Regions from separate parts of the Mus musculus genome. Here regions 2, 3 and 4 are each reported to be linked to region 1. The links are microRNA targets in miRTarBase. Many come from high-throughput screens and were not tested one by one. Region 1 holds a microRNA gene; each other region holds the end of a gene's coding sequence.
What was found. Region 1 holds the annotated microRNA mmu-miR-429-3p (UAAUACUGUCUGGUAAUGCCGU, at 4,422-4,443, opposite strand). A microRNA usually pairs through its seed, bases 2 to 8, with sites in the 3' UTR of a target mRNA and lowers its output. Matches are read on the target gene's strand: a 7mer-m8 pairs with bases 2 to 8, a 7mer-A1 pairs with bases 2 to 7 and ends in A, and an 8mer does both.

Region 1 (7,736 bases):
CTAGGTGTGGTAACACAAGCTTGTAATCCCAGCACCTGGGAGGCAGAAAACAGGAAATTGCCAAAAGCTTGAGGCTAGCCTAGGCTACATAGAGAGACCCTGTGAAACAACAACAACAACAAAAAAAAAATAGCAAGGCTCAAGATATAGCTCAGCTGATACAGTGCTGCATAGCATATATAAGATCAGCCCCGGATCTGGTCCCCTGCACCAGGAATGGCATTGCACACTTAGAATCCCATTACTTGAGGAGGATCAGAAATTCAAGGTAGTCTGACTATATAAGTTGGTGACCAGCCTGAGCTACACTACATGAAACCTTCCCTCAAAAATTAAAAAAACAAAACCAAGGAAAACCCACAAAAATAACAAAAACTTCATAGAAAACCTAATGAGTGAGTAGGGATCTATGTACCCAAGAGAGGAAGGACTGGGGTACAGCATCTAAACTGGGAAGCTACCAGCTACTGCCCTTATCTAGGAAGCGCGTTTCAGGGCGTCTCTGAGGAGGAGACCCAAGATCCAGAAAGGAAGTTTTACACTAAAAGTTTCAGTTACAGTTTCAGGAAGCAAGCTGTCTAATACTGAAGCAAATGGTGTGGTCATGAATCTTGTGATATTACATAAAAGTTAAGGGAAAGCTCAAGGTGAGGAGCCAGACTGAAGCCTGAAGTCTTTATAATAAATTTAAAATAAACATGTTTACCTGATCAGATAAAAAGACCGGCAGGAAATCACACCCCGGTACAATGGGCAGGAGATGCGTTTAAACCTGAAGAAGATGGCCAAGAAAATGACCATGTCAGTGCTCTGCTGAAGTTTTCTCTAGACACACACACGTTTGGCAACACAGGGCTCTGAGAAGGTGCTGACATTTTTTGAAGGGCCGGTGCCTCCCAAGCTGCGCTCACTGTCTGGGGATGCGTTCTCTGTGGATCTCAGGAGGTGGCCCTTCTGAGGGGTCAGTTCTGGGGGAGACAGACACGGCTCTAGGCAAAGAGCTCCTTCTAAGGGGTCCCAGCCCTCCCCAGAACTTGAGTTGCCCACATGGACCAGTCCCGCCCCACAAGACACGCCTTTGTTGGCTGAGACACTTGGGTTTGGAGAGTGTGGCCTTGGCAGAGGGCTGAACTCAGCCAAGCTGCCCAGTCCTCTCTCCTGTTTATCTACTTCCGGAAAGAGTCAAAAATGAGGCACAGGAGGGCAAGGACTCAGCCTCAGTCCTAGTCAGGACCCTCAGCTTGTAACCACCTAGTCTCTCTTACCTGCTCTCAAGGTCTTAGGAACCCTCTGCTGGGATACAACAGTGGTGACCTGGCAACTGTCTCCAGGCAACTGTTACTAGGGAACTATGATTCAGCAGCTGCCCAAAGGTAAACAAGAGTTTTAGGTGGATGGTGAAAGGGACCATTGAGTTGAAGGGCAGCCTTACAGAAGTTGGGCAAAGCAAGAAGTGGAGAATGGGTCAAATTGATCTGAGGAGGCTGGGGGGAAGCTGTTCCTGAGTTCACAACGCCATCTGAATCTGGGGCATAGCCCCACATCTTCCATCCTCCCATGAACTATATATATATATATATATATATATATATATATATGTGTGTGTGTGTGTGTGTGTGTGTGTGTGTGTGTGTGTATGTATATGAAATTTTTAAAAGATTTATCTTATATATGTGAGTGTACTGTAGCTATCTTCAGACACACCAGATGAGGATATCAAATCCTGTTACAGATGGTTTTGAGCCGCCATGTAGTTGCTGGGAATTGAACTCAGGACCTCTGGAAGAGCAGTCAGTGCTCTAAACCACTGAGCCATCTCTCCAGGTCCCCTTCCCCCCATGAATTCTTCCTAGATGATTTTGAGTATTCACAGGGACTCCTTAATCCATACCTAAAGAACTAGGATCTAACACCAAGCATGGCTCAAAGTGGCTTTGAGGCCAATTTGTAGTTTCCTGCTGGGGTCCTTGGGATCTGGTGTGACTCCTGCTTTTGACCCCAAGTTTTCAGCCATATGGATCCACATTCCTGTCATCTTTCAGAGCCTTGCAAGGATCACAATAACTTGACAGGGGCTACATGGTGCTTCCAAAAACCAGGACCATATCCTGGAGTCCATGACCGTGCCTTTCTAAAAATAGAAATCTGTACAGATGTCACTGAGTTAGAATTTTGGGTGCAGTCATCTTGTGTCAACCAGCCGTACTCTAAACCCAGTGACTGGTGACCTCTTTAGAGGGAAGCAGAGATAAGGGTATGTGACTGTAAGCCACAGGACCTGTGAACTAAGACGAGGAAGACACTTGAAGACTCCCTCTAGGGCCTTCTTGAGGTTCTAGGGGCATATCTTGGAAATTCTGGAAGACAACTGTTGTCTTTGGCTACCCTGTAAATCTCCTCACCTTCAGGTTCTTTTGTGGTTCTGCTCATGTTAAGGGGCTCTAGCATCCCCTTAGAGGCTGGGCATGACAAGTCACTCACGTGGCCTTCCCTAGTCTAAGCTGCCAGTGTGGGAGCTTGTGCTTGGCAGGTCTGAAGGAGCACCATTTCTCAGCTGTGCCCAGAGTCCTATGGCGATAGGAGTGCCCCATAGGTTGTCATTCTCTACTTGTGAGATCTGCCCTTCTTATGCTGTGCTGGGAGTCGGGGTCTCTGTGGTCAGTCCAGTGCTGGATCAAGAGACCTCTCTGCTCTAGACTAATAGTACAGTGGGACTGCAGGTGGGCTGGGGCACATAGCACTTCTACTAAACCCTGGGCTGAGTTATTGGGGCTGAAAGCCTCCAGGCTGGACAGGTAGCTCACCCAACCCTGGAGAGGCTTTGGACCAGCAGCCAGCTGTCTCTGATCCTGGCTATGACATTTTCAATGCACACTCCAGGAGCTGGGGATTGTAGCTCAGGGGTGGAGTGATTGCTTTCACATTCATAACACCCTGGGCTTGGTTCCTGCACAAGACACCCAATTCTCACTCCAAGGCTGACTCTTGGCTGAGACAGGAGCCCCCATTTTCCTGATTCACCTGTCCTTGGTAGGTTCTAGAGTACATATTGCATACCAGAGCTGGTTTGTGTAATGACTGGCTGGGTACAATGAGCCCCATGTCTCTCTTCTATCTGGCGGGAGCACCGATCACTGGAGTCCCCGTGTCCTCGGCTTGATCCTTTGCAAGGCTGCTTGTTAATGTTTTGTACGGTGAAAATGAGATGATCAACATAAAATTTCAGAAATCACACAATTTATTGCCTTACAAAGATTTTTTTTGCCTGCATTTTATTTACAATGCTTGAAGAGATGACAAAAAGGGGACCACCTATTATAGAGCGCACGATGGGCGGACAAGTCCCTCAGCCACATAGAACTTGGAGCCCAGCAGGTTTCTGTGGAAGATGAAGTCCAGTGTCCCTATAATGGTTCTTTAGAGGAATGGCCTGTCCAGGGCTAAGAAATCTGTTAGGGCATGTTGGGTTCCTTCAAGAGGGCAGTGGATGAGGTAGGGTTTGGCTCTGCTGGACTCAGGCTGTATTGGCCAACTTGAGGTTTGCAGAAGTCTAGGTACTGAAGCCAGCAGCTTGCAGATGAGGTCTAAGAGGTTCACTTCTAGTTCTTATCACAGCAACACTCAAACTCCCCATATAGCAAATGATGTAAGCATTGGGAGTCATTCTAGAGCAACCGTTTTAGCAACAGCCTTTTGAAAATTCTCAGGGACATGGGGTGGGGGTGGGATCTTTAAGATCGGGCCATTCAGCATCCAGAGTTAGACTGAAAGATGACTCTCAGATCCTAAGAGCCAGAGGTGGGATGCATAGGAAGAGCTCATAAGCAGGCTGACAACGGCAGAGCTGTGCAGCCTTGTGCATATTCCTGGGTATGAGTCACTATCACCTGGTCTGGCACCTTGGCAGTGCCCCTGTCCCTGAAACCCATATACTTATTTTCCACTCCGGGTTTGGGCACAGTGGTTAGACTTGCTTTTACTCTCCTTGGTTCCATGACCTGAGAATTTTGGAGAGGAGACAAAGGACCAAGGTTTTAGATCTCCTCTTGTCTCCTACCAGTGTTGATAGCACAGGGGCTACAGAATCTGCAGGTGACAGCTGACGACAGATCGAAGTCTCTGTGTGGAGCCCAGTGGGCTATGGAGGGCAAGAGGACTGTGACCGCCCCACTGACTATTCCTGAAAAGGATGGATACGGAGGCCTCAGTCTGCTGTGGCTGTAACCGAAAGCTACTACAGGGTCAGAGGAAGGCAGTCAGGCTCAGCGGGGCCTGTATATTTAAACTGTGGTCTGTTTGCATAGAGGGCTTGATGAACCCAGCTCTGGACAGTTGTAACAGATGGATTAAGGTCTTGTCTCTACCCAGTGTCCACGAGGTGGTGAGGATGTCGTCTCCAGCGGTGATAAGGCCGTGGATGGACGGCATTACCAGACAGTATTAGACAGATGCATCCAGATCTAACCATGTCTGGTAAGACATCCATCAGCAGGGCAGTACAAGGGCCTCCCCATCTGGGCAGTTGGATTTGATACCTGTAGAGGGAAGGCCAGGGTTGGCTTCCTGCCTGCTCTGGTCCAAGGGCCATTCTTGGGGTTCACCCTTCTAGGACCTGGGACTACTCTAAGGACTTTCTTACCAGGGCCCAGCTTGGTTGCCTGTTCCTCAAGTGTGGAAGTCTGTGGGTGCAACAGGAGAGTCATCTGCTCACTCTTACTTGGCAAATGCTCGTCATAGCACCTCTTTGGTTTTCTGAATGGCTGTCAGCTTAATGAGTAACATTAAAGCCAGGAACAGACTCCTTCCCCCGGAAGAGTCATCTAGGCTGATACTGGGTGGGGCTCCCTGACCCTGTACTCTGGCTCCAAGTAAAGAAAGATAAGAAGTAATCCTGGATTCTGGTTTGGGGCAAAGTTCCTATTCTGGAAAGCCATTGGGAAGGAATAGAGATTCCTTGTTCTTAATTAGGAAACAGCTGATGACGTCACAATTCTGTGTACCAGGCTCAGGTCCCCGAACCCACCCTTGCCCATTGGTCCCATAGGCACTGACAGTCCTTATGCTAACACTGCTATCCATGTCTCCTTACCTAGCTCAGCATCCTCACTAACCCTCACAGTCTCTCTAGGAATCAATGAACCCCCAAATCCAGCAGAGGAGTTGGCAAAGGTGGGCATCGCTGCTCTGAGAATGAGTGACAATCCACTTCTACTCCAGTACCCCTGGCATGGTGAAACCATCCCTTGTCCCAGCATGAAGTAATAGACAAGGGTCAAAGTCCAGCCCCCACTGACTGCTGATCTGTAGAGCTGAGACAGGCCCTCTGCACCCAGCACCCAGCCTCGGCCTAACTGGAGTCCAGGAGGACAAGTGTGTATCATCAGCCTGTCTTCGGCGAATGGTGGGTCACCTTTGAACATCGTTACCAGACAGTGTTAGAGTCAAGCCAAGAAATCCAGCACTGTCCGGTAAGATGCCCACAGAGGCCCAGGTATGCTCTGGCAGGAAGACACAGGTGGTTTCCACCCTCAGGGAGGCCCAGTGGAAACCTGATGCCATGAACAGCCAGAGACCGTATATGCATCGCAATAAGCCAGCAGAGATGTTGACCCTAACTCATACGGTCTGCTTTGTCCAAAGCAAGGGGACAGTGACACATTGGCTCAGTGTGCATGTTGGAGGTGCTGTTGGTCAATAGGTCGGTGCTCACTTGATGCAGGAAGGTAAGGTATCCCAGGCTTGAGTAGCCCCACTAGGGGGTCAATCAGTACACAGCTCCTAGATGTAGGTGAGGCAGTTTTTGGCATGAGGCCCTCTGAGCCTAGGCGGAGACTTAGCCCTTTAGAGCCTTTGCTGCACTTCCACCCAGCGTACACCTGCCAGGTGTGGTGGCAGCACCTGCCTGGGTATTGTATGCAGAACCCAGGCACTTGACTGTCCTAATTCCCAGGGCATTGGGAGGGGGCGCCCCCAGGGCAATGGGAGGAGCCTCTCACCCCAGGATATAGAGTGGCCCTCAGAGGTGCCTGGTTTGGGGGAACTCTCCCTAAAGCCTCCCACCACCCATATCGCCAAGGCTAACTCTTTGCCCCATAGCCCTACCTTGGATAAGGTAGGTGAGGTGTGGAACTGGGGCCCCTGGAGGCTGGGATCAGGAGGCGGCTCCATTGCTGCATGCAGGGCTCCGCCGTCATCATTACCAGGCAGTATTAGAGATCAGACACTATCCAATGCTGCCCAGTAAGATGGCCACGGCTGCCCAAGTTGGATATGGAGGCCGCCTAGCAGGGAGTTGAAGATGACTAGATTCCATGGGCAGGGCCCAGATGCCTAAGTGTCCTAATCCCCAGAGCATTGCAGAAGGAGGGCACCCCTTCAGGACAACAGCAGAAAGCCCTGCATTCTCATCTCCAAAGATAGGTAGTGGAGAGGTCAACAGCTTGAAGTAAGATCAAGTTCTCTTTTGGAAATTAGATGGAAAATAATTAGGATGGGGGTCTTATAGGCCCTGAAGCCTCTTTCTTGCCTCTCTATAAGGCCCAGAGGAAGGACTTAGCACCCATGGCCATAGACAAGTTCCCCTGCCCAGCCAAACCTGACCTGCAGTGGACTAGCTTGGGGCCCAGGTGAGGACTTTGAAGGGTCAAATAGTCCTTCCCAGAGGCTGACAGCCCGAAAGAGCTGGGAGGCAGGCTATGTAGACTTCCATGTGACCAATGGCCAGGTCAGGATCAGGTCATAGACAGGCCCTCCATCTGAGTATATTCACTACAGAATAGCCTAGACAACAGGTCCAGTCCCATTAGGGTACACAGTGTACTTAAGGTTGATGAGGTTCACTCAGTGGGCCTCTGTCTCCAGGATACTGTTCAAGTCTACTTTCCTGCCCAGCCCCTCTTGCCTTTTTCAGGGCCCAAGAAGGATACTGGGATGAGGGACCAGGGATCCAACACTTCAAGCGTATGGGAAAAGCAGCCCCCAGTATGAATACAATAATCACATACCCATAGAAAGATCTTTTTGTTGCTAAGGACATAGCCTGTAGTCTCCCATACAGAGCCAAGAAACTAAGCACCTGTCCCAAGGATACTTGGGACTGAAAGAGACTCAATCTGTGCCTCTCCTCATCCCAAGTCCGTCTTTACAGAAGTATTTCTTCTCGTTTTTCTGGTCTTTTCTATCACAGACACAATACAGGTGGCTCAAGCCCTGTACTGATTTCCTCGGATCACAACGAAGGCGTGTGTCACTGCCTCCAGGCAGCCGCTAGTTCTCCAGCCTCTCTCCTGAAAGCCAACATTTCTGAGGACCTGACCTGAGCACAGGCTGAGCAGATGGGAATGGACACTCTATAGGAGCCTAAGGTTTTAGAAACTGTCCTAACTCTTCGTCTATCGCCTACAAGGTTCCCAGTGCTCTCAAACACCCGTCAGATATACTTCCCCTTTCCCGAACTTTTTTAGTTCTATCCTATCAGATTCATAAAACCGGTGCTTCAAAAGGACTTTCTCTCTCTCTCTCTCTCTCTCTCTCTCTCTCTCTCTCTCTGAGCTTTGGCAAACTAAGGATTCTATTTGAGAACTAAGTGGACTAAGCAGAATTTCAGTTATCCTTGTGGCTTCAGAGCCACAAAGAGTGTGGGAGCTGGGTGAGGGTAAGCACCAAGGATGTTGCCTTTCCCCCTTCTGGTTGTGCCAAAGAAACAGGGAAGACGAAATGGTATCTAATGATGAGCC
Region 2 (7,736 bases), not on the chromosome of region 1:
TCCTGTAACCACCCACCCTCTGAAAAACCCAGGATTTCACTAGAAGGTTCTTAATTCCTTTTCATGAAGAGCTTTTAAAGACCTAAAGACTTCCACCAGACCTGACTCTTAAAGATCTCACTTCCCACATCACCACACCGACCATGCTACTAACAAATGAATCCTTAGGAACAAATGATATCTACATCATATCAGCCTGTAAAAATGTAAAAACAAACAACTGTGGGGGACGTGGAGGTCAACCTTGTGAAGGGAAAAGTAGGATGGAGAGCGAGGCACCACAGCTCCTGTGACTCCTCGAAGAATCCAGATCTGCTGTCCAGGGCATTAGATCTAAGATGGCTCTAGAACACCAGCAAGATAGTCATAGGAACCAAGGCCAGGGTGGTGACTGCTTCCCACATCTTCTCAGAAGTCCTAACAGGTGATGGGACTTTTATTGGGGCATGGTGACGGTGATGGCATGGCACGATATGATTGGCTCAAACACTGCATATAAGCTTATGCATTGGGCAATAAACTCAGATCTGCACCCCAATGCTGCTCTCCAGAGTCTGAGACCTGGGATCTATCATGTGACTTTTTCACCTCTCAACCACCATCCTTGGTCCTGTTCCCACAAACAAAAAACAGCAAAACAACAACAACAAAACTTACTTTTACCACTGTTCACTTTATCCAAGCCCTGTGCTCTCTAAGAACAGTAACAATTATAAAGTGAAAGGTGATGGGTTAAGATTAGCTAAATTCGGGCTGGAGAGATGGCTCAGCAGTTAAAAGCACTGACTGTTCTTCCAGAGGTCCTGAGTTCAATTCCCAGCACCCACATGGTGGCTCACAACCATCGGTAGTGGGATCTGATGCCCTCTTCTGGTGTGTCTGAAGACAGCTACAATGTATTCTGAATAAATAAATAAATAAATAAATAAATAAATAAATCTTTTTTTTTTTTAAAGAAAGAAAAACAAAACAAAAACAAAGTTAAATTGTCCACACTTAACAAGTATCCTGGACACTTCCCGAAGCAAAGGCCAGTATCACAAAATGAACAAAAATGGGGCCTGACAATGTTGAACCTACATCCTCTGCCCTGGGAAAGCAGGGATTCCTAAGGAATGCTTCATCCTTTTTAGTTGTAGGGATTGACTAACTGCAAAGGAACGCCAGTCTCTGTGTACTCTAAAACTAACCTCATCCTTCTTCCCGACTCCCATGAAATCCATGAGTGATGGATGTCTTTACTTATCTTCCTCCAAAACTCCAAAGACTCCATTCCTCCTCAATGAATGTTCTTACCCTGAGCCTGAGCGAGATCTTATCCTGACTGACCGGTGTGGTACGCTTTGTTATTCACACTTTCAGAAAGGGCGTGTTGGGGTTTATTTATAGCCATTAATACAAGATGTCCCCTGGGAAGCAGGAGATGACAATATTGAGTGACAGATGATGTCTTGACGACAGAAAACAGACAATCAAAGGGTCCACTCCCTCACCAGAAAGCCAGCATGGAGCTTAGTTTTCTGAGCAGAAAAATAACTGCTCCCAGAAGCTAAGAGAAACGAGATTCAAGCAGATGATTGCAAAAAAAGATGTTGTTAGGAACAATTTCCCAGTGTGTGAAGTAAATGGGACTCTGTTTTCTCTGATTTCCCCCAAGAAACCAACCATTCTTAGAGTGCTAAGCATAAAACACTCATTTCTTCCTCGCTGAGGAGTTCTGGTTCTAAAGAGACAAGGTGAAGGCAGGAAGTCCCTTGGAGGCAGAGACTGTCATACATTTCACAGCTGTAAACTCTTCTTTGCCAAGAGGTGGGTCCAGAGGACTGTCAGCCTAAGAGTGCCCCTCCCCAAAAGAAAAGATCTGTGGTCAGTTATATAAAAATCTGGATTCAGATAAATGATTCTATCTTTATCTCAACACCTTCACAGTGATTTATACCCTTGTGTAATCCAATACAAACAGCTCCACCCTACTGAACTCAAGGCTTCCCAATATTATTTAAAACAATAAAAAAAAATTATTCTTGGTGGACTAGTTTGGTGCAGGAAGACCAGGGTTCACATGAGTAGTTCTTGGGAAGAATGAATTGGATTCAGAAGTACTGAAAATTCCTTCAAAATTATATGTCAACATGTCTGTGTAGAACATTATACGTACATGTCTGCATCTGTGCACATCAGAGTGTGCAAGTGCTCAATGTGTTTTCTGAAGAAAGTCTCTATCATTTTCTAATATTTGTAAAGGAAGAAATCTGTGCCCTTCAATGGAGAAGAACCACTTCCTACGGCAGATGTTCTGGGCCTTCATAGACATCCCCTGCGCAGATGCCTCATCCTTGGTCAAAGTGTGTTCCAGAGGCGCGAGGTCATTGCCATCTATTTCCAGCTTAGCCATGAGGAGGCATCCAGCCTCATCCGGGGTCAGCACTGAGCTAAGTCACCTCGAAGTCATTGGCACTGGCAAGGTGCTCACAACACCAATTTGTCTCCCTAGAAACAGGGACGGTTAAGTGTCACCAAGAGCAAAAAGAATAATTATTTCATGACATCCAGCCCATTTTACATTTTCCGAAAATACTCTCCATCAAGAATGTAATGTGACACCCAAAACAGCACTGGCTAGAGATAAAATACGAAAATGAGATGGAAATACATGCTTATTGCCAAGATGTTGAATCTGCTTTTTCTTTCTGAGCATTCAAACCTGGATTTCATAGCTGATGCTTTGAATGAACAATAGCTATCAGAATCACTACCATATGTTTCTCGTGAGCTTAACAAAGCAGAGACAAGGTTTAATTGGCTCACTGAACTGTGTCTTTGAGAGACTTTAATTTTCCTATAAGAACAGTAAGTGCCAACAAGACAGACGTCCCTGTTCCTCTCAGATGTTTATAGTTCAGGGAAGTAAACAAGACATTATATTAAAAACATTCCCTGTATGCTGCAACATCTATTTTGAATTTGTACAAGTGTTGGGGTGGGGGAGAGAGGGGTGCTATAAAAAGCACCCTCAAATATGCCTGATACCTAAATCCTTGAAGCCTGATCCTGATTTTACTGTGGCTGAACACTCCACTGCTATAAAGAAGTATGGAACAGGATGGTATTTGTCAATGTGTTTAGTTTCTAATGGCTCCGAGATAGCATTTTGGAGGCATATGCATCTTGTAGACATTTGGAAGGAGTGCCATTTGTCAAGCTGGATGAAGAAGACATTAAATGGAATTCTGGTGTCTCCTAATATCCCCTAAGGGGGGGGCTATCACGCTAACTTGGGCAGGGCTTACAAGAGCTCAGCCGAAGTGTCATCTCCTCTGTGGCCAACTTAATTGCTCCCTTTTCTGTGAAGTGTCAGAGTTGCCTGGCTGTTATGGCTGCCTTCCTGGAGGGCCGAGATCCTGCTGGGCAGAGACTGTGTCTTATTTATCTTCGGATCTCCAGTAACTTGGGTGTTTTGTAACCAGCAAGAATTTGTGCCCCAACTGTAGGGATTCATTTAATGAGAGCTAAGTGTTAGATCAGAGTCCCACCCAGGTTCTGGACATGCTCTGCCGTGTGCTGCCAGTTCATTTTTCCTTACCCTGAGTCCCTAGGGATGCCCAGAAGAGCTGCACACTCTCAGCTGCTGTACAAGCCCCAGAAGGATGAGGGACCTCAGCCTAACATTTTGAGGGACCCTGGCTTGATAAAGAATATTAGGGAAAACAAAACAAAACAAAACAAAACAAAACTCAGTAGCCAAAATAATTCAGCTCAGACATTTCCTTGTCCAAACCCACTGTATGAACAATTTATCTTTTTTACCTCTGGCAGATCCTCTGCACTCATAGACCAGTTAGTGTGCATACGTGAATAAACCTGCCCAAGAAGGTGGAGTGATTTACCTGAGTGACGGAGCCTTCTTTTTCTTCAGGCCCCCCATCCCCTCAAAAGCAAACCAGAGGGGGTCCTTTTGCTCTGTTCCCACTGGCTCAGTACTCAGGAGTGGAATTGTCACATCATGTTGTGATTAGAGGTCTGTGGCTGTCTCATGTGGCAGTGAGCTCCAGAGAGTAGGGCTTGTGTCTTTGTTGGTCGGCTTTAATGTCCTCAATTAACAGAGATGAGATTAGCCTCTCAGCCGCATTAGCTTTTCCGGAAAGATCTGAGCAAATGTCTGTGTGCCTCAGAGAGGGCTTCTGAAGATGACAGACCAAAGAAACCACTCCACCCAAATCTGGACTGGTACAAGAATGAGTTTTACTAGGACTACTTGTGAGGACAATGGTGAGAAGTCACAGGGACACTTACAGGTGACAACTATACTGCCAGTCTCTCCCTCCGGCAACTGTCAATTGCGCATACACCCTCAGGAAGCAGAGGGGCTGTGTGCAACTTCTGTGTTGACTGTCCCTCCCCTAACATTCTCTTGAAGAAAAGAAACACAGCGGTAATTAGATGTAGTACAGTGGAGAGGACATCTTGGGGCAAGGGACAAAACTCAGAATGCAGACATGCTAAGCTTTGTGAGGATGCAAGGTGCACAGTGCAGGCAGTGAACAATAGTTTGCTCGGATTGGTTCTGGGTGGGGTGGGGTTATGGGTGTGTCAAGCAAGAACTGCAATGCCAGCGAACTTCTTGATGGGGAAAGCAGTTGGTAGACTTAGAAGCTGAGTGCCTTCAATCTCTTTAAAGGTGCTGCCAAAACGATAGCTCTTGCAAGTGTGCTCTAAGAGCAAAGGATGTTGTAAAGGCCTTTGGCATTGGAACAAGTGCTATGTGTTAAGGCAAGGAAGCCAAGTGTTAAAGAGCCTTACAGGGCAATCCTGCTCCAGCTGCAGAAGGGATGTGCGGGCGGGCTTAACTAAGAAACTGACGGCAGAGCAGAGCAAAGCTGACTGACTGCGGGGAGTACAAGGAGACTCTTGCTTCTCCTCATCTTATCTATTGTTAGGTTTTTGAAAGGACACAATGGACACGCACTTTATTTGCACTGAGAGAATTTAATAGAAGTTACACATTTTAAAATGTTGAAAGAAGCAGTCATGTACAGGTGATCCTCCTGCTTCAGTCTCTTAGATGGGATGACAAACACGTACACCTGTCTGGCTAACACTATGTGCAGTTAATGAAAGGCTGGACAACCCATGACGCCCCTCGGGAACTCACCGCCTTCAGCCATTCAGGCCTCAAGAGAAACACTGAGCCCTCTTGTCTCTGATCCAATGCCTTTAACAAATGGACAGAGACTCCTCATACAATTTGTTAAGATGAAGGTCTTCCGTTCTCTCCCTGGCCTCTGCAGGGAGCTTCGGTGTCTCATGCTTAATCTATACATCCTGCCTGAGTTATTTATCTCCGTCGTCACATGACTGCTATCAATCTTGCTCCACTCCCATATTTTTACACCCTCCGTCTATGCAACAGAAGAGTGGTGTGTGTGTGTGTATGTGTGTGTGTGTGTGTGTGTGTGTGTGTGATATAATACTCTCTCATTGAAAGAGGCACATTCTATATCACAATTTGCTTTTTTATTATCATCACCATTATGAAGAGCTAAATGCACAATCCAGTCTCCAGGCAACACAAGTGTAGCTGCCTTGTATGCAGGACACCTGCATTCGATGCTGTAGCATGATTTTTTGGGGGGTTGGGTAGGGTGGGTGTTGTGTTTTTTCTGGCCTCCTGTTAAAGGCCAGCCACAAAGTTCCAAACCATAGTTACAACAGCGCAGTCTTCAAGCAATTAAAGCCAATCGATGGTTGAGTGAGTGGTGGACGATCTCTTTCCGTAAACAGATCACTGAAAAGCCCAGAACAAAGCCACCTGCTGAGAAAAGTCCGGTTCAGCCAGTGTGACTTGGGAACCCACGCCCCACCACCCCCACAGCAAGTGGGGGGGGGGCGCGGGGGGGGGTCAGGTCACTCCAGCATGTGCTGGAGCAGGGAGGGATCAGCCTCCACTGCCTGGAGGCCCTTGTGTAAGCTTAGGAAGGTGGCCTGCTTCCCAAAACGCTGGCGCCAGCGGACAAAGGCCTCCACCACCTGCGAATGCACGTTGTGGGGATGGTTGGCCTTGCAGCGGTAGATGTCGGTCTGGGACAGTCCCAGAGACAGGACCACGGGCTCCCACTCCGGGCCTAGCCTCTGAGCCAGCTGGTTAATCTGCTGGTCTGATGGCGAGCTGCTGAGGATGTGTGAGGGGATTCCGGCCATCCAGTCACCTGAGGAGGAAAAGAACAGGAAATTGAATAAAGCAAGCACCTCATATAGGGAAGACTTGAGAATGGGGCGGGGCAGATAGGCGACTATTTCCGGTCTTTTTGTACTGCTCAGTTTCGTGGGCTGAACCGTGCGTGCCGCTGAAACCGCCCCCCCCTTCAGTTTTTTTTTTTTAATTAAATGTTTTCTTCATTTACATTTCAAATGCTATCCCCTTTCCTAGTTTCCTCTCCGAAAATCCCCTATCCCCTACTCCCTACCCCTGCTCCCCAACCCACCCACTCCTGCTTCCTGGCCCTGGCATTCCTCTATACTGGGGCATAGAATCTTCACAAGACCAAGGGCCTCTCCTCCCTTTGATGACCAACTAGGCCATCCGCTTAGCATCTCTTAAAAGTGTTCACTGCAGAAGATCTAAGAAGAAAAATCCATGGATAGTTGCTTAATTCTGCCTCCTTGTGTATATAGACAGACAAACATGTATCATGCTCACGGACACACTATTTTGTCACAAGGTTTTTTTTGTTTTTGTTTTTTAAACTCCTGTCTCTTTTTGTCAGAAATCTTATCAAGAGCTCTGGCTGAAAACCACTCCCCTCAATACCAGCCTGGGGGCCAGCAGTGTGCTGCTCCAAGCTGTGAGTGCTGCTCCCCTTGAAGGGTCGTGGGGAGGGGCTCGAGGCCAAACTGACAGCTTCTCTCTCCTGGCAGCCTCAATATAAAACATCGCCCAGAATAGAAGGTACAGAAGCAGGAAGCCAGAGCATCCCCTCTCCCTGAGGAAAAAAACAAGCCATAGAGGCAAGATGTGATGGGAGAAGAGACTAGAAGCCATTCGAGCTGTCTCACCATCCCAGCCAAGCCTACAGCGTAGGAGTAGGTGCTGGGGAGAGCTTGACCTTACACTTGCTAAACAGGATTCTGAAGAGTGCCAGTGTGTGTGTGGCTGTAACTGTGCCACTGTACAGACACTGACATTCTACGGGGGGCGGGGAGGGGGACCTCTAACTGGATGTGAGCCATGGAGCGAAGAAGCTAAAGCTAGCTCCTGAAAAGAGAATGCTGGGTAAAGAGGGTGGTCCAGCCCCTCCTAAGGGAACCGCATATGCAAAGGTGGAGGAACTGGAGTGTGCCAGAGACAGAGGCCAAGGGAAGTTTGAGAGGGACTCTAAGCATCCAAGATGACCGCAGCGGTGCTAAGGGTGAGGCGCGGTCATATGTGCCACAGCATCTGTATGACACTTGCTGGCCAGCTGCATCACAGTTTACTTAGCGTACTCCACAGTCACCAGCCCCTGCTTCATTTTCCGATTCAACGAGAAGATAAAAGACCCTGCAAGAAGAGCTGTGGGTCCCACAGCCCTTGTCTCCGACTCCAGAACCGTCAGCTGCCAAGACTCTAGAGCAGTGTCGAAGACCATTTCAGTATTTGTCAGTTCTGCAACTTAAAAAGGACCATGAGGCAATCTGAATAATGAAGATGTTACTGCTGTCCAATAAATCAACAGCAACGATTTTATGAAATCAAGTCG
Region 3 (7,736 bases), not on the chromosome of region 1:
CTCATGGGTAATTGAAGCATCTCCCAACATCAAAAAGTCAAGGGCTCGAGATCAATCACCACCCCTGGGTTGAAGTCAGGTTCCAGCCTGGCTAAGTTTCAAAGAAATTTGCCTCCCCTCAGTAGAGTTGAGGTCCAACATAGCTGACTCCAATGACCCAAGAAAACGTGCCACCCCAAAGTCCTAACACGGCTCAGTTCCAATATATAAAAAAATCGGTCACCCCTCTATAGCTGAGACCAGGTCCTAGCCTGGTGAGTTTGAGAGTACAAGCAAAACTCCCACCCCTGAGATGATGAGACCCAGCGCAACATGGCTGACTCAGAAAAACAAACAATGCCACTCCCTCTCAGTAGATGAGGCCAGTCCTTGAGGATTTATCCTCACCTGAGGACTGTTAGAAACTTAATTCCAGGCAGAGACTTACACTTGATGGGACCCTTTCCAGCTTCAAGAGTAGCAGAAGAGTCACAGGGAAAAAGATCGAGAATCTTGCTGAAGAGAACGGAACCCGTTGAGCCTCACCGGCTCTCCTCCCAACTTCACAGGATTCTAGCTTCCCCAGGATTCTTTGTGCATGCGCAGAAAAGTTGTGTACCATGAGCAGAGTAGTTACTGGCTGGGCAGAAGTCCCCCAGAGAACTGAGGTAGAACCCTACATGAAGGAAGCCTGCTTTAGTCTAGAGAACAGTTGGGGGCTTGCAAGAAATCCATTCTCTACCTCTGAACGAACAGCCACCTGTCAGAGATATCTTGAAGAGCCATCCTAAATATCCTGTGGAATAGGACCCCACGATACACTAAGAATGCCCAACTTGGAGTTGCCTTCCATGCTAAATGAGAACATTTATCCATATGCATCTCAGTGCTGCAATCCTGATGTTGTGGAGGCCTAGTGATTGTATAGTGTGATTACTTGGGAACATTGTAGAAAGCCATCCTTTGAGTACTGGCCACTGGAAAATCTTCTCCCAATGTCTGAAACTGAATGAAATAAAGGGGCACTAGACTTGCCAGAAGAAATCTGATTTATTAGTGGCTGAGAGGACTAAAAAGGAAGTAAATGACCACTATTGCTGCTGGGCCTGTACCTTGCCCCAGATTACTCATGGAGGATCTGTGGGGGACCAACCAGAATCTGCTATACACAAGCCTGGAGATCAGGAAAACTGGCTGCCACCAGCCCAGAGAAACAGGAAGCTGGGCTTTATACTGTCCAGGAGTCCTCTGTAGACAGATGTCAGTGACAATGGCAGCAAGAAAAAGACCTTTAAAGGAATCAGAATATCCATGGAGCAGGACAAAAGAGTGATTTTGGAGCTGGTGAGCAAAATCAGCTCTCATCCTATGGATGCACAAAATATGGCAAACGCAATGGGTAGTGTTCTATAGATATGCTGGATATAGTTGGGTTTTTAACATTATTCAAGTCCTTTCTTTACTCATCTTCTGAATAGTTCTACTTAATGGTTTTCAACAACTATTGTGGAGTTCTATATTTTCCCATTTGCTCAATTTTTGTGTCATTTACTTTTTCTCATTTAGTACATTATCATTTTTACAGCTTGATGAATGGACTCATTTATCACAATGCATAAGGTCTGTATTTGTTTCACATAACTATTTCTGGCTCCATGTCTATTTTGTCTTATGTTGTCACCAATCTCATTCTTGGTGATCATTTGCATGGAGTAACTGCTTTTACTTTTTCATTTTCAATCTGCCTGTGGCCACACAGAGCATATAGTTACATCATGTTCTTTCAAAATCTGTCTTCCCAATATTCAACAAACATTGACATATAACTCTCACATAGTGCTATTCATCCCTTGTAGGTTACAGTTTAGTGGCTTTTGGTAGCTGACATTTTTAAAGTCATGCTTAAATATGTATAACGTAAATTCATTATTTTCATGCATATTAAGTGTGCATAGATTCTGCAGCAATTATGACTCTTTCCAAATTTATTTGCCCCACCAAGAGAAACTCTGTAATCATTAATAACTATGTTATCCTCATCTCCCAAGATTTAACCTAAAACCTAAGGGTAGCACATGCAGTTACCTTCACTGATGCTTTCTCTTTGTTTCTTTGTATCAGTTACTGCTGTGTGTTCCTTTCAGCCTGGAGGATGAGTATTTCAAGCAGTAGGACTCAAACAGTGATGAACCTCCTAATGTTTTTTTTTTCCTCAGAGAAAGTCTTAAATTCTCCCTCATTAGTGACCAGAGATACTATACCTGATTGACAGCACTTCCCTTCTGCTGTTTGAATCCATCCTTTTTCCTTTCTTGCACAGTGCTGAGGACCCAGAGCATTGTACAGACTAGATAGTACTTTACCATAGCTACATCTACAACTCCTTTGTAGCATTTTCAGTGCTATTATATTACCTTTTGTCTTTTCATGCTTCTGATAAGAAACAAAATGTCAAACTTAGGAGTTGGGTCCCTTGTATGTAACAAGATACTCTGGTTGCCTTCAGAATCTTCATTGTCTCTTATCAGCTTGATTCTGTCAGTGATTCTCTATCTGCTTTGCACTTTCTTGAGTTGGATGCCTTTTCTGATACACATTTATTATAGAGTTTAAGAGCTTGGGACTACTGGGTCTTTAAATAGTCTCTTTCCATACTTGTCACAGTGCTTTCTCACCTCTTGTTCCAGGGATCCTACTATGTATACTATGGTGTTTTAAATGAGAATGGCCTCATAGCCTGATATAGTTGAATAATTAGGCTCCAGTTGGTGGAACTGTTTGGAAAGGATTAGGAGGTGTGTCCCTGTGGGTGGGCTTTTAGGTTTCAAAAGCCTACATCATTCTCCGCTCTCTGCCTCCTAAGGTGGCTAAGGGTTGTAAGCTCTCTGGCTGCCTGCCGCCATGCTCCCCACCATGATGGTCACAAACTCATCCACTGAGACTGTAAGCACTTATAAACACTTTCTTCTATAGGCTGCCTCATTCGTAAGGTCTTGTCACAGCAAGAAAAGTAACTAAGACATATACATTGTCATGCTTGGTGGTGGCCCATAGGCTAAGGTGAGTCTCTCAAACTCTACTTCTTGGTCTTGGTTTTGGTTTAGTGCTAAGGCTCAGAATCCAGGTCTCTTGATAGCTATATCCTCTGCTCTTTTCACTTTCATACTCCCAGTTTCTTTCAGCTCCTCAGATTGGATAATTTCAATCAACTTCACAGGTTCCTTTGTCTGCTAAAATCTGCTATTGAACTCTCTTAGGGGTTTTCCATGTCAGTTTCTATACTTTTCAGGTTCATAATCTATATTCGTTTCCTCTCATTATGCTTACATATTCCTATTTATCTTAGTTTACACCTTACCTTCCTGCTTTGATTGGACTGTTTATGCGTGTTTTCCTTTGGCTCCTTTGATATCTAAGATGACTGATATAATAAATCCAGTTACTGTGCCATCTTCTAAACCATGGCTGGATCTTGAGAGGGCTTGGTCAAGTGTAGGTTAAAACAGCACAAAGTTCTCCTACTGTTTTCATGGCCTTTCACATTATTCCACATTCACTTTGGTTACTCTAAGTCAGGGAAAAATTCTACAACCAAACACCCCACAGTAACAAATCAAAACTCTAGTACCAGAAATGGGTTGTTGTTGTTGTGTGACAAGACTTTCCCTGGGGAGATGCTACACACATATCTATTCACCCCAGATAGGGATCCCATGACAGACCAAAGTACAGGTACCACTGAAGTTCAACTTGGTGAACCAATGAGTTTTACTGTGGTTACTTACAGGAATATGGGTGAGAGGTTACATACAGGAAAAGTACTGACAACAGCAGCTGCATCACCAAAGCCCATTCCAGCATGGGTGAGAACTAAATGTCTTCCAGGCTGCTAAGCTGACCTCTGCTTTTTCCAGGCAATTGATCTGGTCTCAGGGTTTTCTTTGCAGCTTGTCTTGTATGAGAGTGACTCTCAAAAGTCCTGTTTACTCTTGAAGGAGGGGCCTAGTGAATCTGGTCAGTTTTGGGGACTTCCTGAAGCTCGTTTGAGTTGTTTAACTTCTGTTAAAGAGCTTCCCTGCATGATGGAGTTTCTCAATCTAGAGGGAAACTATCAAACAATAGCTACCGCTTTTTGAGTTGTTGCTCAATGGGGTGACATAGACTTCCAAGTAGTATATAGACTATGGTCTATACTGTTATCCTCCAGAACTTGATAGTAAGATCCTATCACTAGTCACAACAGAACATGGAAAAATCAAGCTGGTACTCACCTGGGAGCTTTACCCCTATTGGCTAGTGTTCACAGTGCTAGAAGATGCTATGCATGTTGCCGGAGAAGAAAAGTCATCATCAATCTCACTTAGGTGTGAACCCTGCAAGCTACAAGAACTGGTTTGGCAAGATTTGCCCACTGGGGCAATAAGAGCATGGTATGGGAGCCGTCAATCACTTTCTGATAGGATCTGAGGCTATTCCATGAGAATTGGACCCATACCCAGCATTGTTCAAGTAGCCAAGAATCTGTGGCTAGATAGACCAGAGGCCTTAGGGAAGAATCAATTACTGTTATTCTGTTAGATAGACACAGTAAAAAATGACTTCAAATCACGTTGCTAACATGTAATATAGATCAGTACATCTCTCACCTCTCATCAGAGAAGCATGTCTCAATAGATGGCACTTCACAGAGAAATACTCGACTGATTAACATGCAAAGAATATGAGACTGGAGTGCTCAGTCCTAATACCCCTGAACAAAATGTTCAGGGATCTTTGAAAAAAGGATCAGATGAAATACTATGAGAGCTAGATATGGCTGATCATACCAAAGAAACTGTTCTCAGACAGAATGGGACAGACATATATGAGTTAATAGCAATTGTGACAGACTCCGGAAGACCTGTACAAGCTCTAACCAGACAAAAATGCCAGCACAAAGGGACAAAGGTAGACATGGAATTCTATGGCTAGCTGGGAAGCTACTGGCATTTGCTAGTTGCTGGCAGAGGAAAAGGCAGTTTTCTTTAATGATGTGGTTGACCATATAACAGGGCAGGCCCCACTCCCATGACCAGCTGGGCAACACATACTGGGCTTGATGGGTAAAGAAAAAAAAATGAAACCTCAAAATTGTTTGGCAACATATGGTGGGTGGAGAGGCAATAATAGGAGGACTTAGGAGTGATGAATATGTTCAAAATACATGTACAAAATTTTCAATGGGCAAAAGCAGAGACAAACCTTTTGGCTAAATTTCAGAGTCCCAGTAAACTTGATTTTGGCAGTTTTCTCTCCCCAGATACTCGTATTTGGAAGGGTCTGGCCTCCCCACAGCCTTCTAATAACACCATGTTATGTTTCTAAGTTCAATTACTTTGTTAACATTAAAAAAAATTTTTTTTTGTTTATGTATATACACACATGTGCTTGTATCACAGTGTGTGTGTGTGTGTGTGTGTGTGTGTGTGTGTGTGTAGAAGTCAGAAGACAACTTCTGGGAGTTGGTTCTCTCCTTTCACCATGGGCAGCCCAGGGATCAAACTTAGGTGGCAAGGGCCTGTACTTGCTAAGCTGTCTTATGGGTCTTTTTGTTAGCGTGTTCATTTGTTTGATAGTGTGAAGTTTGTTTGTTTCTGAAAGGATATACACAAGAGACATACACCTAGAAATGTAGTTTTGAAAAAATCAATAAAATGATTTTATTTCATATATGCAAAGTGAAAATCTCTTTGATCACTTACATTTTTACAAATAAAAACAACAATACTGCTCCATATAAACTTCTGTATAAACTTCAAAGAAAATATACATATTATTTTTCCTTTTGGTGCTTCCAAAGCACAAAAATGTACAAGTCCACCTGAAAGCTTTCTGTTGTCACATGCAAGAACAGATGTCAGAGGTTAGTGCAGCCTCAGATACACTTTGTAATGGTCCTAGTCAAAGTGGAAGAGCACTCGAGGTAGATTGTTTGCTGACTCCCCCTGCCCTTTCCCAGAGAGAATTAAGTTACCGAAATAGCAGCTTTTTACTCTTTGATTCCAACGATCCTGAATATTGCATGGTTTAAAAGGCACAGCTAGAAATCTTTGAAGAGTTCTTTGAGCACAAGATCACCACGTGGACTCTCTCTGCTTTCGTGTTCTTTAGCACACAATGAGGACAGTAGGTAGTGCTCGCCTTGGAAGTGGCCAGTCCCTATTCACTCTGAAACCGCCTGGAATGGCAAGGTCCAAAATGAGTGAACTCTACTAGCTGTAGTAGGAGCAGCAGTGCTCTGTGATTCAGCATCTCTTTTCCTAATTGGAAAAAATAAACAACGAAATGAAAAAAATATTCTCAATAATTCTTAAGGCAAAAGCCCAGATTTTACTTCCAGATAATCGTTAAAAGCTCAAGTCAACTCCTTTCTCATAGCCTGAGTTAGGTCGCTCTGTCACTCAAACATACTATAGGGCTTCAGTAACGTCCCATTGCATTTGAAAGCACATAAAAGGTGTTCTTTTTCCTCACTTGGCTTGGCATTAACATGATGATCTGCTGTTGATGTGATTCACATTGTTAAGAAGGTGGTGGGAATCGATTTTTTCTAGTACCTTCTCAAGGTACTGAATTAAGACTCTTCTTTTAAACCTGAAGAGAAAAAGAGAGTAAGCATAAGTGTCATAGACAACTTTACAGAGTGCCAGGTGTTATGTAGCCTGCAGGCCAAAGGGAGCAGAAGTCATCCTCATGGAAAGAGCAGGGCTGAGCAAGGGGACATGCCAATCTGATGAGCGCACATACACATTAGCTAGAACCCATGAGTCAGGACTCTGGTAGCATCCATCAGAACACTGCAGGAAGCACCCTTACCTATGAGTAGAACAAGTGCTTTCAAAGAGAGAAAGAGAGAGAGAGAGAGAGAGAGAGAGAGAGAGAGAGAGAGAGAGAGAGAGAGAGAGAGAGAGACTTTATCCTTCATTGGATCCTACTACTAAATTAAAACAAAGACAAATAGAACCCAAAGCAATTAGAAAGCCTATACAAGTGCTGTTTATACCGACCTTGCAGCTTCCTTGATGGTAAATTCAACAAACTGTTTCTTCGTCTCTAGAGGTCCCTGCACTTCTTCAAGCAAAATGAAAATCCTTTCATACTCTGATGATATTACAAAAATTCAGTGTTATGAAAATATGCATGAAAAATAAAGTTCAATCATCATACATCCTCAGAAATCATCCTTTATGGGTAGAAAGTCTTAAATATAGCTGGTATGTTAAACACTAAAAATCAAAATGTCTGTATATATTTATGAAGGAAATTCTTATAAACAGTATTCAAATGAGGTAAGCTGAAAACTGGTTGCCCCAAACTGCCCTAATCCATGAAGCCTTGTGAACATGTGATCATATATGTATTATATGCTGATAGAATTAGGCTCTGCATATTGAGTTTTCCAGGATTACGCCCAGGGGTCCAATGTAACCACAAGTATCCCTCTTAAAGGAGTATGAACAGTTGATGGTTTCTGGAAGAGGGAGAATCGGTTTTCCCTGAGAGGATGGCTCCTGATAGGTTGACTATGCTCCACTGGGATAGCCTCGAACCCACAAGTACATGGTAGGTTCAACTAGTTATTAAAACAAAAGGACAGAAAGTTGAGGGATAGGGGTTGGGGAGGACTTAGGAAGGAGTTTGGAGAGAGTTGGGGTGAATAGGATCAAAATATATTGTAGATCTCTCTAAGAATTCATGAAAAAAAAAGAATATTAGAG
Region 4 (7,736 bases), not on the chromosome of region 1:
GCTTAAAAAACTTTCTTTAGATAAGTGACTTGTTCCCATGAAGGTCAGGAAAGAACAGTTTCATTTCCATCTAATTTCTTCTAGTAAAAAAATAAAAGATTAAATATCCAAAGGTTAAGAAAGGATACAATACAATATTTTCATTACTGTGTTATTTTAGTGGTTGTATTATAACAAGGAAACCTCTCTGGTTTCTAAGACAGATATAGATTTGAAAAAAAGTAATGCATAATACATGAAGTAACGTGTATAACAGTATAGGAAAGATGCCATTGTCTTGGATCATAAGGCAAAATGAAGTGGGCTAAAAATTTTAACAGATTTCTCCCATGTCTGGTTAGGACAGGAAAATATACCTTCTCTGGCATTCTATATGGCTTATGCTTGTGTGAGTGTAGTTTTTATAAATATAAGATTCCATTTCAGCAAGGCATTTAAAAAAGGCTTTCTCTCCTGAAGGTGGTGGACGTGTGAAAATTGAGAGTGTAAAACTGGATTTCAAGGAAAAGGCCCAAGCTAAAGTTGGCTCACTTGACAATGCTCACCACGTACCTGGAGGTGGTAATGTGAAGGTGAGAATGGCAATGAACCAGTCATGTTTCTTATGAAATATTCTTTTTAAGTTATTTTTTATTTTTGAGGTTATAATATACATTATTACATCATTCCCCCTGCCCTTTCCTCTCTCTGAAACCTTCTTTCTCTTTCAAATTCATGGCCATGTTTTTAATTAGTTACACACACACACATACATATTAGTGTGAATATATGTTCCTAACTAGTAAAAACCTACAACTACTACTTTAGTAACCCAGCATTACTCCTAGCTATTCTGAAATAGCTTGATCAAAGTGGATCTCTGGTTAAAGAACTTCTCAAACAGGAAGGAGAGATGCTAAGCTGAATACACATCATATTCTTATATGAACAGGTGGGAAAGAGCTAGTGATTGGTGAAGATGCTTGAACTAATGAGGGCTGATGTTTCTCTTCAACAGATTGACAGCCAAAAGTTGAACTTCAGAGAGCATGCAAAGGCCCGGGTAGATCACGGGGCTGAGATCATCACACAGTCCCCAAGCAGGTCCAGCGTGGCATCACCCCGACGACTCAGCAACGTCTCATCTTCTGGAAGCATCAACCTGCTCGAATCCCCTCAGCTTGCCACTTTGGCTGAGGATGTCACTGCGGCGCTTGCTAAGCAGGGCTTGTGAATACTTCTCCTTTAGCACTGGAGTAACATTTAGGCATGAGCTCTTGGCAGGAGTGGGCTCTGAGCAGGTGTCATATTCATTCTTTACAAACCATAGAGAAATAATTTCATCCCCCAACTGTAGTAATTGTTACAATTTTATATAAAAAATTAATAGTATATGCAGAAAATGACCTGAATTCCATCCGCAACAAGGACACATGGCTTTACATGGATACAATCGGACAATTATTTTCGCTCTGCTCTGTTTTGCATGGAGTATTATTATTATTTTTTAAATTGCATTTTTACCTTTCATGTGCCTGAAGGCTATCCAATACATTCTGAAAGGCCTTGTTAAAAATCCAAGCTGCTCATTTCCCTATTCTGTTTATGGTTGAAAAGATTAAAACCTACCCATTGTTACTTACTACAGGTTCGATGAAATCAAGGAGTCTGATTGCAGGAAGGAAAGAGCATGTAAGAAACACATTTTTTAAAGTGTTATTTTGTATAAATGGGAAGAAAGACGCAATTAAGTTATTGACACTTGGGACCTGGACGAGTATATCAGAGTATGCCATTCCAATAAATTATTGAACTACAAGCTAGATTTAAGGCATTTGAGCGTTGGTTGAAGAAGTGGTGTCAAAGTGCATCTCTTAGGATTGATGCACTTTTGTTAGGATGGGCTTGTGTCTGATTAGAATGTCAGTCGATTGGCTAGATTTATATCCACACAATCAGTTTCACACCCCCATTCCATCTGTTTGATACAGTATTATAGATATAAATATATATATATATTTCTCTGTGGCCATTTGTGATACTTCCTCATATACTTGAATATGATACTTCTTTATTCACAGTATCTGTGTCTCCTGCACCCTTTGGTGTTGCAATTTTAGGTATGTGAAAGTAGATGTTAGCAGGGTTCTCTCCCTATTTAAAAATAAATTTTAAAAAGACAAAGAGTTTTAGCATGAAGTTGCTTTCTGTAACAACTCAAAGCTGTAACCCTGTCTTAGTGCCAGAATCAAGTCTTTCCTGTGATGCTAGAACATTTTACTTTTCTTTGCTTCCACCAACATGGAGTTTGTGGAGTGGGTCCAGTTATGCATAAAGGGGTTTACAGATGTTGGTTCAAGGATTATGGATTTATCTCATGTATAATCACTAAATAGGTCGGGTTTTATCCCTCTAATTATCCATGACACCAATCTCTTACTATTCATTACTCTTTCTTCTATTTCCTTTTTCCATTTGCTAAAGTTGAAAGTAGGAAAAAATAATTTTGAATAGCTTTTCTTGTTCTCCAAACAGTATCTGTTCATTAAATTCTGTGATAGAATATATTTGGCTTCCTTCCCCCAAAGACCTCTTGATCAAAGATGAAAAATACAACATATAAAGAAGCTATATATGTAATACTTTTGAGACACAGATATCTAAATCCATCTCTCCAGGATTCTTCATGAACATGGAACATGGTATTACTTATTCATGAGTAAATGCTATTTTTTTCTTGCTTTATATACAATCTAGACATCACAACTCAATTACTATCATTTACAAATCATACTTAATGAATAAGTAATAGTCGATGGCCCAAAATAAGGCAGAGCATTATCAAACCGAGTGGACTTTTTTTCTTAATATTTAATTTGTTCTTTTGCTTGCTCGGGATTGGTGGGTGGAATATGCAGAGATAAATGTGAAAAAGCTGTCTGGGTGTTTTATGTCTCTGAAATAAACCAAGCCCTGTATACAAAGGAGAAGGTGAACATGAACAGGATAGGAAGATGTAGGAGTGTCTAAGACAGAAGGCAAGAGGATGCAAAAGTGGAGAGAAACAGGTGGCAGTTTAGTGACCCATTGAGTATTATGACCAATGTGACAGTCACATAGAAAGCTTAGCATCAAACAGAGACAGTCTTATTGGCTAGTAGGCACACACACACTACAGTCGTCTTTGTAAATTGGTTATTTTTTATATAACTTTAAAACTACTGAATAGTGGTTTTCACTCTGGACAACCCATTCCTTACCTTCTCTTGAAATGCACAGAAAATGGAAGAAGGAATGACTGTGTGTGGAGAAGTACAGTCTTTTCTTACATGTTTTGATAGACAAGGATCAAAGTTGTCTAGGAAAAAAAGGTACCAGATGATCCATGTGGTTTTAAACTATGCAGAAAATAATTTCAACCCAGTTTATTATAAAAATTAAGCCTAAGTAAACATTTTCTTTGTGTTAAAATTCAGTTTCTTATGATGCGTGTTCAAAAAAATTATGTAAACCCCAATGTTAATAGATCTAGCACTAAAATAATCATTTTTTCTAATGTCAAAACAATTATAATGGATATAAGTCCTTGTTCTATGTGAAATGTGTTTCTCTATAAAGTTATCACAAGAAGGAATTTTTATAGGAGACAGACAGAGAAATGCACAGGCTAAAATCATTTCCTTATGGGAATGTGGGATGGAGCTCACCTTACCTACTCTCTTAAGATAATGACTCAAATTAAGCTTTTTGGACACCACTTTTGTGGGGATACACATACGCTGATCTAGAAATGAAAGGTGCACTACTGCATTTCTAGATCCACTAATGCCAGTTTCTCTCTGGCTTTAGCCTTTGAGAACCTGTTTAAGAATACGTAAGTATCCAGAGCTCGGAAGAGTTCCAAGGCCCACTTTTTCAATAAACTCACACACTCTGGGTCTCCTGCAACTGACAATTGGGTACCTTGCAACAATGCAGGAAGGATCCGAGTCTATGATGAGTTTCAAAGGCCAAGTTCCTTTAGGAACTGACTCTCTCTGGATCTGCCTGCTGCGTTCCAGCAGGATGACGGGCTGAAATCCCACCCATAGGAAAGACCCCTGTGCAATTCCAGCTCAGTTTGGCTGAAGGTAGCTGAAGAAGAGAGCCAGTAAAGGGAAGAATAGACTGTAGTTGCCCTTCTCCACACACACTCACACAGATGTGGGGTAGAAGAGAGATATAATGCCAAATGTAGCATTATGTCAGTGGTAGTAAAGAAATGATATAAAAGCAAATAATTCTGACTTAGCCTCATTTATAGCTTTCCTCTCATATTTCATGCCACATGGGGGAAAAAAGGAAATGATTGTGGTAGAAGTAGCAAAGTAAAAGTAGATTAATCATTTGGAAAAGGCAAATTTCAGGCATTTCTCCAAGATTGATGTGCTAAAATTAATACTTATGTTTGTGTTTTTACACCTAGAAGTTTTAGCCTGGACATGTAGATTGAGGCCAAGTCCCTCTGTAGGAAAAGGTTTTTTTTTTTTTTCAAAACCCCTAAAAAAAATGCCAATCATGAAAGTCCACTTCAACTTTAGCAAAAAGGGGGGAAAATTCAACAAAAAGTATACTCTGTATGCTGGGATCCCAAGGTTTCAACACACCATCTGTGGGGGGTTCTTTCTTCTGATAATTCTAGAGCCTGTTACCATAGAAAGGTATTTCTTCAATGGCTGGTTGTAGTTAGTTCATGTTTTTCAATCAATTTGCAAATGTATTTGTTGCTGTATAGTGATTGTTTTGCAAAATAAAATTGCTTGTCACCTAACTACAAGTTTCAGATTTTTTAAAAACATTGTTTCTTCATCTCTGGAGGGGAAAATAGGTGTGTGTGTGTGTGTGTGTGTGTGTGTGTGTGTGTGTGTGTGTGTGTGTGTGTGTGTGTGTGATATGTATATGTACATACAAATCATTTGATCCAATCAAAGAAAAACTGAGGTTAAAAGGCCACAATTACCTATCAATTTCTTATTTGTGATTGTTCCCTATAGAAGGCAATTCTATATTACCCAATCTACTTGATAAACAAATGTTTTGTTTTGTTTTGTCAATTCCAGGACAGTGCACATACCAGAGAAATATTCTACCACTGTGCCACTGAGCTAGATCTGTGAAAATGCAGTTTTCTATTCTAAAAGAAGAGTTTGAGTGAGACCCAGGTGTTGTACATAATCTTACAAAATTAGCATGTGAAAAGTAGGTTGGGGGCAGGGGATACTGATTTTTCCTACCCCAAACTCAACTCATCCCATTGTCTCCCTTTCAGTGGCACTCCAGGGTGTTCCTGAGTAAACCATGGCTCATTATCATGCACACACAGCTGGATGGAGAGTTAAGTTAAGGAGACACTACATATATGAACTTATATGTAGAGCTACACATACCAAGACAGAACATGAACAGAAAAACCCATGCTATGCAAATGAGCCAAAAATCCTGTGCTAAGGTAATTTATAGCCCAGCTTGGTGCAGTGATGTCGTCCGGCTGCTCAGCTAGCTCCTGGTTCCTGTATGTTTCCCCCTTTGGAAGCTCATCCATAATATCCTTTGTTCCATTGTGCTTGTCATTATCTACAGTTTTTTGTTCCAGGACATAAGAACCAAGAACTGGCGATGCGTGCCCACGGAACCCTAGTATCAGCTGACATCATTAACAGGATGCTGTCTCTTCCCAGTACTAGAAACTTAAAATGGCTTAAGCTCAGGTTCAATTTCTTGGTTCAATTAAATACCTAGACAAGTCATCTGCCTGCTGTGTTCACTTTTCCTGGGGTACACAGGAGAATATCTAGTCACCCCAATGTGTTCCAATGACAGACCAATGTATGCATTCACCAAAGTTCAACTTAGTGAGACCAGTGAGTTTATTGTCCTTTCTTAATGAGCCCAGGAATTACATTCAGCAGCATACATGACTGCACGTGCACCCAAGTCACCTCAAAGTGCTCCCTCAAAGTGCTCCCCCACGGATGCTATCCTCATAGAAAAGGCATCATGAAGTCTCTCTTTTAACCTTTTACTTTAGTATTTAGTAACGTCTTCTAAGATCACTTGTAGCTGGATGAGAGAGTAATCCCCCTGGAATCCCAGAGAAGGTTCTCCTGACCCTCCTTGGTAGGGGTCAATAGCTCCATTACCATAGATCTGGCTAGTTCTGCTTAGTTGCCATGACTAAGGGTCAAAGTCGCAGAAAGGTATCTGGTTAGGATGGGAGGAAAAAGAGCCAAACAGTGTTAGGGTTCAGGAATTGTTGAAGGAAGACCCCAGACTCAAATAGTATGCAAGAACAAAGAGTGTTTACTCTGCAGAAACAACCAGCATGCTAGGGTCAGCACAGCATCAAAATGGCCATGACCCCAGACAAAGGCATACACCTTCTTATAGGGAACTGGGGGAACTCTCTAGAATGATCCGGTAATCTCTAATGTAATTGGTAGAAGCTAAAGCCCTGACATTAGTACAATTTTGATTAGCTACTGTGTTAGGGTTAAGTAATTTAAAACTTCATTGGTGGGTGCTGAGATGCCCCAGACGGACTGCATTAACCACAGGATGGGCTGCCCAGCACAGATGGCCTATCCTGAGATCAGATATCTCCCATTCATGTGACTATCTTCAGGCTGTTTCTCGGATGGGGGGTTTTATTGTCTTGTTCCTGGACTTTTGGGGTCTGCTGCTTGAGCAGATGGTAATCTACCATCATGTTAGTTTATTAGTCAATTCATTAGGTAGTTGCAGCTATTAGAAAAGCAAATAGGCTTGCCTTCCTTATAGACACCATGCTAAAAGAAAAGGAACTCGCTTTACAGTGACTGCTCCCAGTGGTCAACCACCTGTGTCTCATTCATGGCCTAGTTTCATGGTCTGCTCCTGGAGTGGATGATGTATGGCCTAGTTTCTGAGAGGAGACAAAGAGGAATGAACGGATCCCTTCAACAGTACTGGCTGACTGGAACTAGATAACCCAAAAGGTTGGTCAAGAAGCGCTCTCCTTCCCAGTTTTGGATCCAGTCATTCAAAGATATCACCAAAAAAATTTCCTCTTCAACTTTTAGGCCTCCTTCCCCTGTGTTGCCTTTCATCTCAATCAGGGATCCCTTCTATGACAGGCACCAGAAACTCCAGATCCCACAACCTACCAACACACCCCTCAGTCCTGTTAGGTTGCCCACAGTCCACATCCTAAAATCTATGCAACTCTCTGGATCTCCTGCTCAGTTATCACCATTTAGGCTTTCGTTTGCATTTACTAACCTTCAAACACCTCCTTAGACCCTAAAACATTTTCTTAGATCCTCATACTTTAAGCTTTATATCCTCAAACCTTGCACAAACTTTACAGTTTTTTTTTCTATCCAATTATTTACCATGAATGAGACACAGGTGGTTGATCACTGGGAGCAGTCAATGTAAACTGAGTTCCTTGTCTTTTAGCATGGTGTCTATAAGCAAGGCATACCTACTTGCTTTTCTAATAGCTGTAACTAGCTAAGGAATTGACTAATAAACTAACATGATGGTAGATTACCTTGGATAAGGAGCTAGTTACCTGTCCTCTAGCTGTCAAGCTATAGTTAGCTTAGCTATCAGTATGATCAGAGACCTGAGAATAGATTATAATCTAAATGCCATACATTAATTAAAATTACAAAAGTTTTTCTATACTCCACTACCTAGACAATTCTCCCAGGTTCCTGTTGTTGGTATTCTGTTTG

Region 2: the mRNA of Cradd is a reported target of mmu-miR-429-3p. Seed matches in the 3' UTR shown: 7mer-A1 at 5,466-5,472.
Region 3: the mRNA of Ints6l is a reported target of mmu-miR-429-3p. Seed matches in the 3' UTR shown: 7mer-m8 at 5,742-5,748.
Region 4: miRTarBase lists Map2 as a target of mmu-miR-429-3p. Seed matches in the 3' UTR shown: 7mer-A1 at 1,470-1,476, 8mer at 1,968-1,975 and 7mer-A1 at 3,070-3,076.

Annotation. Positions count from the first base shown.
Region 1 is chr4:156,049,495-156,057,230 of GRCm38, forward strand. It overlaps Mir429 (microRNA 429), which reads right to left and starts at 4,493; the gene lies at 4,411-4,493. It overlaps Gm13648 (predicted gene 13648), which reads right to left. Exons shown (of 2, transcript NR_132444.1): 2 at 3,221-4,535. Mir200a (microRNA 200a) reads right to left here and starts at 5,491; the gene lies at 5,402-5,491. It overlaps Mir200b (microRNA 200b), which reads right to left and starts at 6,256; the gene lies at 6,187-6,256. It also overlaps a transcript of Ttll10 not described here.
Region 2 is chr10:95,169,773-95,177,508 of GRCm38, forward strand. Cradd (CASP2 and RIPK1 domain containing adaptor with death domain) reads right to left here. Exons shown (of 3, transcript NM_001330138.1): 3 at 4,967-6,206. The coding sequence ends at 5,905. Among named protein-coding and RNA genes, the nearest start is that of Gm29684, 28 kb to the left of the region's middle.
Region 3 is chrX:56,505,756-56,513,491 of GRCm38, reverse strand. It overlaps Ints6l (integrator complex subunit 6 like), which reads right to left. Exons shown (of 17, transcript NM_172779.4): 16 at 7,026-7,119; 17 at 5,649-6,612. The coding sequence ends at 6,504. Among named protein-coding and RNA genes, the nearest start is that of Gm648, 40 kb to the left of the region's middle.
Region 4 is chr1:66,437,795-66,445,530 of GRCm38, forward strand. It overlaps Map2 (microtubule-associated protein 2), which reads left to right. Exons shown (of 15, transcript NM_001310634.1): 14 at 460-572; 15 at 998-4,789. The coding sequence ends at 1,213. Among named protein-coding and RNA genes, the nearest start is that of Unc80, 26 kb to the right of the region's middle.